Drosophila melanogaster: one gene and its partner. The protein of the gene in region 1 purifies or fractionates together with the protein of each later gene. This does not show direct contact. Each region holds a gene or a part of one and is shown in the gene's direction. Other genes may lie near its edges.

Region 1 (6,787 bases):
GTTTGTCCAAGGAGCAGATAACAAGGAGGTGATAATTGACCGCCCAATTGGCTTGGCAACCAATTACGAAACTTATCAGCGGCACCGGCAATCGAATCAAACGATCGTCAAAGCGGGCGGGGTCAACGCCGGTGGTCCAATGAAGTCCCCTGATGCATTCTTGCACTCAGAAAAAAATCACAAACTAAAATTTGGAAAGGCCACAACAGCAACAGCTCTTTGTTTAGTCTCGAACAAGAATAATGTGCACACGGAGAAAATGAAGTTATCAAGCGTAAAACCCCGTTGTAGTAAAAACAATCGCATAAATTCAAACATCTTTAATAAAAATAAACGCTCCTATCAGCGTATTTTTTTCCAGTGCAGCTATCTCCTGCAGATCGAGTGCAAACGAGAGCACACCCATTCGCGAGGTGTGAAAAGATCGGGCTGGCTGGTTGGTAGGGATATATACAGATATATTGTACCATTTAGCATGCTAAGTAGTGCTTATCAGCGGGGTATATGTTTTATGGGTTGTTTGCCAGGTCGGTGGTTTGGTTCTGCTGCAACTGCCGCACCACAATGTCCTGGTCGTGGGCATGCACCAGCAGAGCCACCTCCAGATTCAGTTGCGCAGTGTCATCCTTCAGTTTGGCGATCGCTTTCCTGATTTGCTGCACCGAACCTGATAAAAAAGAAATGGAAGAGGCATTTTGGGATTGGGATTAGCACCGCATAGCACTGTGGGTGGCTTCCAAAGGGATCGGGATCTGTGATTTTCTGTTGACCAGAATCAGGGATCTACGATGGCAAATAGACGACGTCCTATCATTGCAGGGCAAATAGAGTTTGAAAGGTGTCGGTGTTAAAGGTACCATATTTGCTATCTATGGGAATGTCAGTGCTCTTTATAATTTTGAAAAATTCCATTGTAATGCTGATATATGTATTCATGAGAATATTTTTTGTTACTTTTTGAAAAGATGGTATATACACTTCATTCGTAACCCAATATCTCTTAACTTTCCCATACTCACTCCCATCCGACATGGCCTGTCCGCGTCGCTCCATTTCCTCCTTTTTCAGCTCCTGCTCCATCATGACCTCGTTGAGCTCTGCGGTCTGCTTCTCCATGTCCTCCTGCAACTGATTCTGGGCATATTGGATGGTGGACAGTTCAATGGATAGCTCCTTGAACTGCTGAATCAGTGGCTTGAGCTCATTGTTCAAATGTTTTTCGCGGCTTTCGATCTTTTCCAAGTCGAAAGTGAACTCGCTGTGCAGTTTTTTTAGTTGAGCCTCGGCGGTATCGGAGTTTTCCAATATGTTTGTTTTTAAGGTCTCCATCTGGCTGATGTGGGTCCTCCAGTCCCGGGCGTCTGCTTTGACGAACACTTTCAGTTGGGGCAGGACTCTTTCCAGTTCCAGATGCCACTCCTGATGATCGCTCATGCGAGCATCTAATTCAGGATTTCGTTCATCCAGGTTGACATCTCCATTGGATTTCTTTTGCGGACGATTCAACCAGTTCAGCTGCCGGAAATTGTGCGCCTCCAACTCCATGTCACTATCATCACTTAAGGCGGCTGCATTCTGCTCATCCTCCAGTTTCTCCAATATGATCTCTGCATTGTCCTCCAGATAATCGCCCAGGAACTCCTCCTCCTGGGCGATGTGCAGCTTTTGGTAGCCCACTTGGGCCACTTTGCAGGCTTGTGTGGAGAGAACTTCCAGGACCGACAGGCAGATGGGTCCAGCTCCACGAATCAGCTTATTGGGCTGGAAATCCACTGGGACATCCTACAATGAAAATATTGTAGTATTGTAGTAATACAACTTAGTCCTAGTACTCACAATCTCCCCAAGCAATTTAATGATATTGGCGGCCACAGTGTTTGGATCATCGTACTCCTGTGGCCGCTCCATATCCTTTCCGAGTTTCTTGCATAGCCACCAGCATATTAAAGTAAACATATAGAATTGCTCTCCGGGATTTGTGGCCTTTACGAAATAGAAACGCGACAGCGGTTTTAGTTTGAATTCCTTGAGCAAATGTTTTTCGTAGTTGAGTAACTTCAATTTTTCCAGTAAGTCATCGGATTGAAAGTTTTGTAGCTGCTGGGATTTTTCCTGTTCATCATCTTGCTGCATTTTACAATTTTTATTTGTTGTGTTCCTAAATAAACTAGTGTTAAGTGTGAGCCAGCTGTTTGGAAACAAAATTGTCGCCAAGGTAACGATATGTGTGTAAACACACCGAGCGCATGCGTCCTAGCTTATACCCTTTTATTTCTATTTTATTATACTATTTTTTTTAGTATCAGCTCATTTTTCATTCATTTAATTACTAGAATAAAGAAAAATTTTAATATTGCCTAATATTTAAAAATGCTTTGAATTACCGGAAGAGGGCGGCAACGAGTTGAATGTTAGCATGCGGTTAACATAGCTTGCCGTATAGAAGTTTGCTGTAAAAAGTTGCAAAGGCAAAAGTAATATTCTACTTAGAATAAAAGAAAGATTGTTTAGCTTAAAACTTAAAACTGAGTGAAATTTTAGTCAAAATTTTTAAAAATGCATTTCTCTTCCGGAAGATGGCGCTAACCGTTAATGTAACAACACTGTTAGTCTGCGCTTACCAGCACAAGTCTCCCTGTTATTTGTAATCGATCAACAATGCGAGCAATCCATACCGATTACTTTAGAGTCAAATATCGATTGACGGTTGAAAAATATAAAAAATTGGCGTCTTTTTTATGCAAACCAAATGTACAAAAACTTGGACCTTGACACCCTTAGCGTGGATGACATCGTGGAGGAGTACAAGCTGCTGCACGATCGCCACCAGCAGCTGAAAGACCAGAGCGAAAAGGATGCGCAAAGGATTTATGAGCTAAAAAGGAATCTGGACACTGCCCTCGCCGCCGAATCGTATTTGACCCAGGAACTGGAGCATCTGAGTAGCCAGCCTGTGGCCATCGCGTCTGGAGGGAATGGCCAGGAACTGGAGGAGCTGCGTCGAAAGTTCAAGACCCTGAAAGAGGAACAGGATGTCCTACAGCAAGACTACGACGCCAAGGTGGAGGAGACCAGATCACTGAAAGATAAGCTGACTGCCGCTGAAAAGAATCTGGCGGAAAAGTCCGCCTCCAGGTCAAATCAGCTTCACGATGACTTTTTTGCCCGTTTGAATGCCCTAGAACTCGAAAACTGTGAGCTGTTGCAAAAGCTGGCCGAGTATGAGGACTTGCGCATCGCAAACACTCTGGCGGTGGCTGAAAAAGAGGTAGAAATATTCCTCATAAGTATCTAAACAACTACATCATTTAAATACTATCCTGAATTCCCAGAAAACCATCGAATGTCTGCAAGATCGGGTGAGCTGCATGGAACAGAATCTGAACTGCAAGCGGGATGAACTGGAGGAAAAGCTGCAATTGCTGGAGAGTTGCCAGGAGCAACTGGTGGATGCCAATGCCAAGATAGCACTGCTTACCTCCGCCCCTGAAAACAATGGTAGTTAAGATTAACATGGCACCCTAAAATTTGTTTTAAAAAGGGCTTTATGCACTATTTTTATAGACCGCAAGGGCAACTCTCTGTTCGCTGAGGTGGACGACCAAAGGCAAGCGATGAAGCAGATCCTGGCGGCCCAGAAAAAAAGCTATCTGGATATGAAGAAGATCTTCACGGACAGCCAATTTGAGATCAGACGTCTCAAGCGGGAAAACGTGGCCATGCACACGGAGCTGCAGGCCTGTAGCACAATCTTTTGCAGTGCGGACAAGACCTATCAAAGTGAGTAATCCACATTCATTGGTCTGTAAAGAAGATTAATATAGGAGTATTCCCCCAGATAAGCTGAATGAGCGCATCCGGCAACTGATGACTGCCAACGACAGCCTAGAGCGGCAGCTTAATCTCTCCCAGGAGCGGCTGCGCCAGCTGGCCAGCGAGAAGTCGGTCACCTGGCTGGACTCGATGCTGGATTTCTGCAAGTATGAGTTGCCCCTCTTGGTCGACACCGCGCTGGCATCGCTCGGCAATAAGTTGCTGAGCCTCACCAGCTACGGCCTGTTCTTGCTGACCAGTTAGGTAGCCTCCACACCCCTAATTCCTAAAAATCATCCCAATTTAGACGCGAAACGGACGAGCTGAAGGCGCAGCTGCATAGCATGCGAATCCAGAAGGCCGGACTGGAGGAACGGATGCGATGCGTTCAGCAGGAAATGGCACGGTATATACACTATATTCCTTTTCAAAGCTATATTTATTTTATAATTATTTATATTTTCAGCTGGCGCTTTGAGTCCCTAAAATCCCGCTGTGTGCTCATTGATCGCGAAAATCTGCTGGCGGAGCATAAGATCGTTTTCAAGCCCATGCAGGCCATGGAGTTTAACATCAAGGAGGCGGAACTTAAAACTGCATTGCCCCGCATTGTCAGTGTAGCGGCACAATCTCCATCATCATCAGCTCAACTACATACACATCCAGAAACATCTTTGAAATCGGCTGCGGAAACCACAAGCAAGTCTTTTCCAACTGCAACGGAAATTATTGTTCTTGATGCGCCCTTAAAGCCTGCCATTAAAGAAGAGGTAGTGGAGCCACTTAGCCAAGAATTAAAACCAGCACTAAAAGACACATCCGTAAAAGTCGAACAGGAACTAGAGGTATCCGAAAGCAAGGCTTGTATAAAAAGAACACCTATTAAGACAATTATGGGTATGAAAATAAAACGAGAAATCGACTTAAACTTGGAACAGCAGGACGCGGTTGATATCAAAAAGGAGTTGGAAGCTCCAGAATTAATTCCAAAACCGCAGCTGAAAGGCACTCCAGTCAAAGCCAAAAACGATGGAGTAACACCTCAAATGAATATACAAGAAGATGAAAACGAAGAAACGGGTCTAAATTCCGTGGAAACCCCAGCCAAACCTTTGATGAAGGGTACCCCAGTTAAGCAGCGACTGGGAGGGATAAAGGTGAAGTCCAACGAAGAACTGCTGGGAGCAAGACTGCCTGGTACAGTAACGCCTGCTAAACCGCAGCGCAAAGGAACTCCTGTGAAGCTCATAAAGCTGGAAACGGAAACTGAAGACAGCAGCGATGAGGCGGCCAAGGAATCTCCCATCAAGCAAGATGGGACATTGAGTGTGGAAATTCTGGACAGTCCAACGCCACAAAAACCGCAGCGCAAAGGAACTCCTGTGAGGATTCCCGTCATCAAAGACTCGACCAACGAAAATATCCGCTCTATCCTCAGCAAAAAACGGCAAGTCTTCGCCGAAGATTCGCAAAAGGCTGTGAAGTTTAGCGCGAACGATCCCATTGTTCACAATTTGAGTCCGCTTGAGAGATGTCCAAATGGGGAAACCACCAAGGAAAATGACAAGCCAAAGGAAAGTGAAGACAACCAGGACGTAAAACCCACAATTAAGAAGCCAAACATCATACGGCGTATTGTTGTGAGCTCTCGTAAACCAATTATGAAATGATTGCATGAATTCCAATGGAAATTTTAAATCGAATTTAGACTTATAAAAACTTAACAAATAATAACAACGCAGGGCACAGCAAATCAGGGTGCAGAGACTTTATTCTTTACAAATACACTACGAACTAAAAAAAAACTTAGCAATAAAAACAAATCAACTCTTTATTAATACAGTTGAGCTTACTTAAACTACCCTAGGTGTAACCAGCAGTACCTTTGCTGTTGTGCGACCTTAAACTGTAAAAGAATAATCCATCCAGATTCGTGTTCTCTATTTACGTATTCAAAGACAACTGAAATTTACAAAGCCTAGAAATTATTAAGGAATTAAGTATATCAAAGATGGATTCTACCTAGGATATATCTCTCAGTTCATCCAGTTTTGGCATCTCCTCCACAAACGACAGATGATCGTAGATGGGAGCCGTAGGGCCGGTAGTCACGGCCAGCACCTCATCCGCATCCCCATTCTCATCCGCCTGCTCCTTGATCTCTGCGTACAGTTGATAGGGCAGCTCAGCTGGTAAGGACTCGTAGGTGACATGATGGGTCCTCGAGCAGGTGGATTCTCTGTGACCAGTGCAATTGCAAATCGAGGTACCTCCACTTACAGGAGTCTCGTATCCATCTGGCAATTCGGTTTCCACATCCACTGGGCAACTGGAACCGCCATTAGCAATGGGATAGCGCACTATGTCCACATGATCCACAAACCTCGGCCCACTGGATGATTTTTCGCCACCAAAACAGGGCAATCCCGAGGCGTAATAGGACAAGTGGAAGAGCCGCTCGCAATGGAGGTATAGATATAGCAACAGGAAGAGGAATGCGATGCCCAGGGGCAACATAAACACGATTATCAAGGCTAAAGATCGCTGACTTCGGTGCAGTTCTACGGGGTTGCCGTAAAGGACAGTGAAACTGGAAACATTTCCATGTGGATGTGGCACGGGAATCGAAGAGTCTGTCCCATTGATCCTCACGTGCATGATTCTTCGCACCTTGGGCGGTTCTTCCGAGGGCGGCTCTTGCGGTGTGCAACTCAGGCCATTTATATTGATGTGGGATATATACTTGGAGTACTGGAATAGTCTAAAGAGTTGAGGTTGCATGTGCGAGAAATTCAGCATCCACTGGCAGCTCCAAGGATTGTCATCGATGGAAATTCGAAGCTGTGGGTTCCAGGACGGTAGATCAGCATTTTCTGTATCCCGGAAGCTCATCAATTCATTGGATCTCAGGTCAATGTGGTGAATGCTCGCTGAGGAAATAAAGCCCAATTGGAAGAGGGACAATGAATGGAAG
Region 2 (5,446 bases), on another chromosome or scaffold:
AGCCAGGTCAAGTTGATCTTAATTCAACTTTAAAGTACTTATGGTAATGGGCAGTCAAGTTAATTAATTGGCCACTTTTCGAGCGCTCTAATTGCTCATCTAATTGTAATTATGCCCAATTCGTTCAAGATGATTGCTTAAACGCAATTGTGGGTTTCGTTTTACATTTCCTCAAATGGAGAAAGAACATTATTACTAGCTGTTCAAATTTAACAGCAATTTTGAGTTTGTAACGAAGCTTTTTTCTAAGAAGTTACTAACAATTGTTAGCTTATCTGATTAGTTTAAAAAACTCCTTTTTTTGACGATAGTGAGCATCTCTTGAAATTTAAAATCGATAACTTTGCAACAACAACAACTCTTTGGGCGTCCCTTAACACACACACACACTGTCGCACCTGCCCAAACACACACACATAGAACAGGTTGCAACGCGCACTGTACCAGATATAAACAAACTATAATGTTTGCAGCTACCACTTTCGATGTCCCTTTAAGCAGCTGAATTTCGGTTGCGCAAAGCGTTTAGTTGTTCGCTAATGCTGTTTCTATATCACATTTCTCACAGAATTCAGGGATAAACAGGAAAACTGCACTGCTGACACATACACGCACACAGGCGCACTGCAGGCACACCTACGTTTATCGATATCGATAGGCGGGCGACCGAAGAAGCGACCGAACGGTTGAGCGGCGAAGAAACGACTGAACGACCGTCGTTTCGCCACTGCGTTCTGATCAGAACGGGCCGCTAGTGCTAACGCTTTTAGCCGTCTGGCAACGCCGATCACCAAAATTCAAATGGGATTTCCGTTACAAGTGATCTGTGTTTAAAATTTTATTTTTGATTATTACAAGTTTTATTTAAACTAAAGCGCAGTAACTAGACAGTATTTCATGACTATGTGTTTGAGTTATGTTAGAAGTAAATTTCCCGAGAACTGGGCCTAATCAATTTTCCTAATAACTTGGAGCGCATTTGCCAACTAAGCGAATTCCCTGCACCCACTGTGAGCGTATAAAATCGCTGTTTGCCGGGGTGAAAAGCATTAGTTCTCCCAGTAAATCCAATCATGGCATCCCCAGTAGTCAGCCTGCTTCTCGTCGGGATCTGCGCCCTGGCCTTTGTCCATGTGGCTCGGTCGGAATGCTGCACCTCCCGGGAGCTGGTGGAATTCAAGATGGACAGAGGCGACTGCGAGGCTGTGCGTGCAATCGAAAACTATCCCAACGGCTGCGAAGTGACGATCTGCGCCGATGGTGTTGCCCAGTTGGGCGCCTACTGCGGCCAGGGATCGTGCAACATCTTCGGCTGCAACTGCGACGGCGGCTGTCTGAGCGGCGATTGGTCACAGGAATTTGTGAGGAGGAACCAGCAGTACGGAATCCAGATCATCAAAGTCACCAGGCTGCCATTTTAACCCCTTGCATCACATAAACAATAAAGAGAAGCTTTAATTGCATCCAGAAATTACTAATTAATTATGTGTATTTTATTTTATATATGCATGAAATTGATAAGGTTCCCACTTTCTAATCAAATGTAAACAGTTCAATCTGATTACTAGGAACTATTCTTATTTTTAATCTTGAATTCCATTAATTACGCTATTAACTAAAACTATTATACTAAAAAAAAAACAACTATCATCAAAATCTGAGATGATATGGGCTAATTTTTGAATAAAATCCAGTGCTCAAATCATAAGAAGTGATTTTTTGTAGTTTCTAGCATTTGTAATATCTGTTTCCCAACGATCGACCACGCCCCCTGGGCAACCGCCCCTCTGTTGGCCGCTCGCCATGGGAAAAGCAAATGACGCCTGCACTCGCAGAGATCGCCCCGAATAACCCCTCCATATCCACAGATCCACAGATCCCCAGATGCCCATGTAGCCATGTACTCCGCATGTAGTACGATCAACTAGCCGAGTGAATTTTGGCATAAACCATTTTCCGCGGACGCCTGATTTTCTCAGTTTTCTCAGAGTTGTGGAGCCGTCGAGAACGCGGAGCATTCGCCCATGTAAAGCCGCAGAATCCGTCGATTTTCGCCGGAATTTATCAATCCGATTTGCCAGTAATTTGCAACAGAATAAGTGAATTTGCCAAGTGAATTTCCCTAGTTTTTTTTTTCAACTTGCAACGAAAGTGCTAAAGTTACGAAACTGCACTTTCCACGTTGCACTTGCAACCCCAACAGTTTTTTCCACCAGATCCACCAGCTGAGGGAAAACTATTAATAAACCGGGCGAAGGATGAAACAAATTCAGATGTGACGCCCATCCTCGTCGAAAATCAAAAGTCGCAAGTGAACAATGTGTGTGTGTTCACTGAGTTTGCATAATTGTGAATTTGCTATTTTAATCGCCTGCGGGCATCAATTAATTAATTAATTAAAAGCTTTCCTTCTCGCACTCGTTTATTTGCGGAAAGTGTCTAACAATTTCGTTTGATCAACTAATCAAATGGGTAAATAACATAGTAAAAACGAAGTTTTAACTAACTGCTTTCGCTTGCTTACTTAATATACTTATACTTTCCAGAACTAATAGACTACTGAATATAGATTTCCTATTAATTTGCTTCAAAATGTGGTAATTTAATTAGCTTAGCTGCTTGTAAACTAATAATTTCTAAATAACAATTAGTTTGAAATGCTCAGAATTCAGTGTGACTAATTGGGAAAGCCTTGCAGAAATAGTTTAGCTCATGAATGAATGTATCTCATGCGAGTATAGCCGGCACATCTCCTCCCTTAGTTAGATACATAGATACATAGATACATAGATAGAAGCGGACGGATCCAGCAAGACCATACATACATACATATTGTACAGCTGAGACAGCGAACACCTTCAGCTTTCCGGCTGATCCCAATCCAAATCGCGAACTAGAGCGCAGTGCCCACCATGGATAATTGGAATGTTTTGGCAGCGCAAACCTCCTCGCAGGCCATCGGACTCCACGACTCTGGCGTGGTGAAGACCCGACTGGTGAGTACCCTGTACATAGAACATACACATGTGCAGATAGATATACATATTAGATGTAGTAAACAAAACAAAGCCAGACAGACGAACGATGGCGTATATATAGAATTCTTGGCAACAAACATTGTGCACTGAGAAAGTAAAAGGGGTTCGAAATCTATTATTACTATTAAATATATATATGCAAAAGCAGGCTGTGCGGAAATGTATCTTAAAGTAGGCGCTAAAGGATAAAGCTCAGAAGGTTATTCCTCGGGAAACAGAAGCATTTTCAGATGCATCTTAAAGTATCTAAGAAGTAGAAATATCTTAAGATGAATCCATAGGTTATCCGAACCTACAAAAGGTAGATACTATCAGCAATATCAGATACTTTTAGATATAAGTAAAATATAGTAAAATATCTCGAGATACTTTTATACAGCTTACTAATGATTTTGAATCTGACGAGGAAAGGAAGAGATTTGGCAGGGATTTTATCAGCATGTTTCTCCACGTGCACCGCTGGGTGAGTGGTGCTGGTGGTTCTAGTGGTTCTATTTGTTCTTAAAGAGTGCGTGAGTGGTGTGGTGCGTCGCCCGTGAACAGCACAGCTGATGCATCCGAAAGTAGAGTGATTGAGTGATGCGATGTGGCAGTGCTCTCGTTACTGGCGCTGGTCTATAAATAAGCCTAGGGTTCTCTTGAGTCTACTACTGCCTGGCGGATCTTTGGAGATTCCGATGGCACGTCGATGGGAATGCGGCTCGCAGTAGCGCGAAAGTAGCTCGATACGACGGATATTCTCGCCTCGCAGGCAGAGCACGCGTAGTTTGCCCCGTGTGTAGCTATATTTTTTTTTTATATAAGCAAGTGGTTCCGAATCATCCACACCCAGCCATGGATATATCCACCGATATCTGGGGTCAGCTGGCCGTGGAGGCATCGCAGGTCTACCTCTCCGACGGCACAGTTCGCAGTCCCTTCGCCGATACGGTACGATGGGTTTGGGATATTACTTAGGGATCCCACTCATTTGGGAGAGCCAGTCTGTGGCGTAAGAGAGAGTATCTATAGATTCACTCACCCGTAGAATATATAGCACCACATTCGCACTCAACTATTCCGAACTGTCGTTTAGATTTACATTTAGAGATCATATTTGAATCACTTATGTAGTACCATAGGATATACCACTATATATCGTGACTCTCATCCACAGACCATTGAGAAGCTGCCGGACAAGGTGCTGCTGCACATCTTCTCGTATCTGTCGCACCGCGAGATCTGCCGCCTGGCCAGGATTTGCCGACGATGGCGGCAGATTGCATACGACACGCGGCTGTGGAAGAACGTGAGCCTGCGACCGGAGGTCTCCGGACTGCACGTGGGCTCGCTGGAGATGCTGCTGCAGCTGATCTCGGTGAGATTCGGACCGACTCTGCGCTACATCGAGCTGCCCATCGAGCTGATCACGCACACGGTGCTCCACGAACTGTCCGCCAAGTGCCCCAATTTGACCCACATGCTGCTGGACTTCTCCACAGGTGGGTGCGCCACGTCGCCGATCGTCCGTCTTAAACTCTAGAGTGTCCTGTGTACTTCTTAGCCATGCAGCTGCACGACTTCAGCGAGATGCAGGCCTTTCCCACCAAGCTGCGCTACATGTGCGTCTGCCTCTCGGAGGTGATCTTCATGGAGGGCTTCATGCGCAAAATCTACAACTTCATCAACGGCCTGGAGGTGCTGCATCTAATTGGCACGTACGAGAAGTGCGAGGAGGAGGAGGAGGAGATCTACGAGGTGATCAACGTGCACAAGCTCAAGTCGGCCACGCCCAATTTGCGTGTGATCAACCTGTACGGCATCAACTTCATCGATGACTCGCACATCGACGCCTTCAGCTCGAACTGCATCCAGCTGGAGTGCCTGGCCGTCAACTTCTGCAACAAAGTGACCGGCTCCACCCTGAAGACCCTGATCCAGCGTTCCAAGCGCCTCACCTGCCTGCTCATGAACGGCACCAGCCTGAAGTCGGAGTTCGTCATGCAGGCCGAGTGGGACAAGTGCGCCCTGCAGGAGCTGGACATCACGGCCACCGATCTTTCGACCGAATGCCTCGTGGACATGCTGAGCAGGATCCCCAGCCTCAAGTTCCTCTCAGCCGGCCAGATCAATGGCTTCAACGACAGCGTTCTCAAGCAGTGGATGGAATCGGGCACCACCAGGTGAGCGGAGACAGTACCTACCCGTCTGTGTAAGCACTCCGATAGCAGTATGATTTAGGTCGCTCATTTCCCTGGACTTGGACTCCTCGGACAACATCTCGGATGAGGGCCTGCTTAAGTTTATACAGCGCCAGGGTCATCAGCTGAGCGCCTGCTGTCTCTCGGGCATGCCCCACATCACCGACCAGCTGTGGATGAGCATCCTGCCCCTGCTGGGCAACTGCAAGTAGGCGACACTATTGGTCA

The links. Proteins that work in one complex are often made in the same cells at the same time.
Region 2: the proteins of Spindly (region 1) and FipoQ purify together in Drosophila melanogaster (affinity purification with mass spectrometry, with the first as the bait; one large-scale study listed by BioGRID). This does not show direct contact.

What each region holds. Positions count from the first base shown.
Region 1 is NT_033779.5:3,526,249-3,533,035, reverse strand, and holds Spindly (spindly), read left to right. Parts: upstream 1-2,718; 5' UTR 2,719-2,749; coding exon 2,750-3,268; intron 3,269-3,332; coding exon 3,333-3,498; intron 3,499-3,564; coding exon 3,565-3,780; intron 3,781-3,838; coding exon 3,839-3,980; intron 3,981-4,120; coding exon 4,121-4,219; intron 4,220-4,279; coding exon 4,280-5,483; 3' UTR 5,484-5,649; downstream 5,650-6,787. Other genes in the region: IFT57 (intraflagellar transport 57), read right to left, coding at 510-667, 1,020-1,782, 1,837-2,133; CG8852 (uncharacterized protein), read right to left, coding at 5,836-6,787.
Region 2 is NT_033777.3:29,492,806-29,498,251, forward strand, and holds the start of FipoQ (F-box involved in polyQ pathogenesis), read left to right. Parts: upstream 1-3,735; 5' UTR 3,736-3,872; coding exon 3,873-3,968; intron 3,969-4,194; coding exon 4,195-4,519; intron 4,520-4,581; coding exon 4,582-5,200; intron 5,201-5,258; coding exon 5,259-5,426; intron 5,427-5,446. Other genes in the region: diedel, read left to right, coding at 1,074-1,421.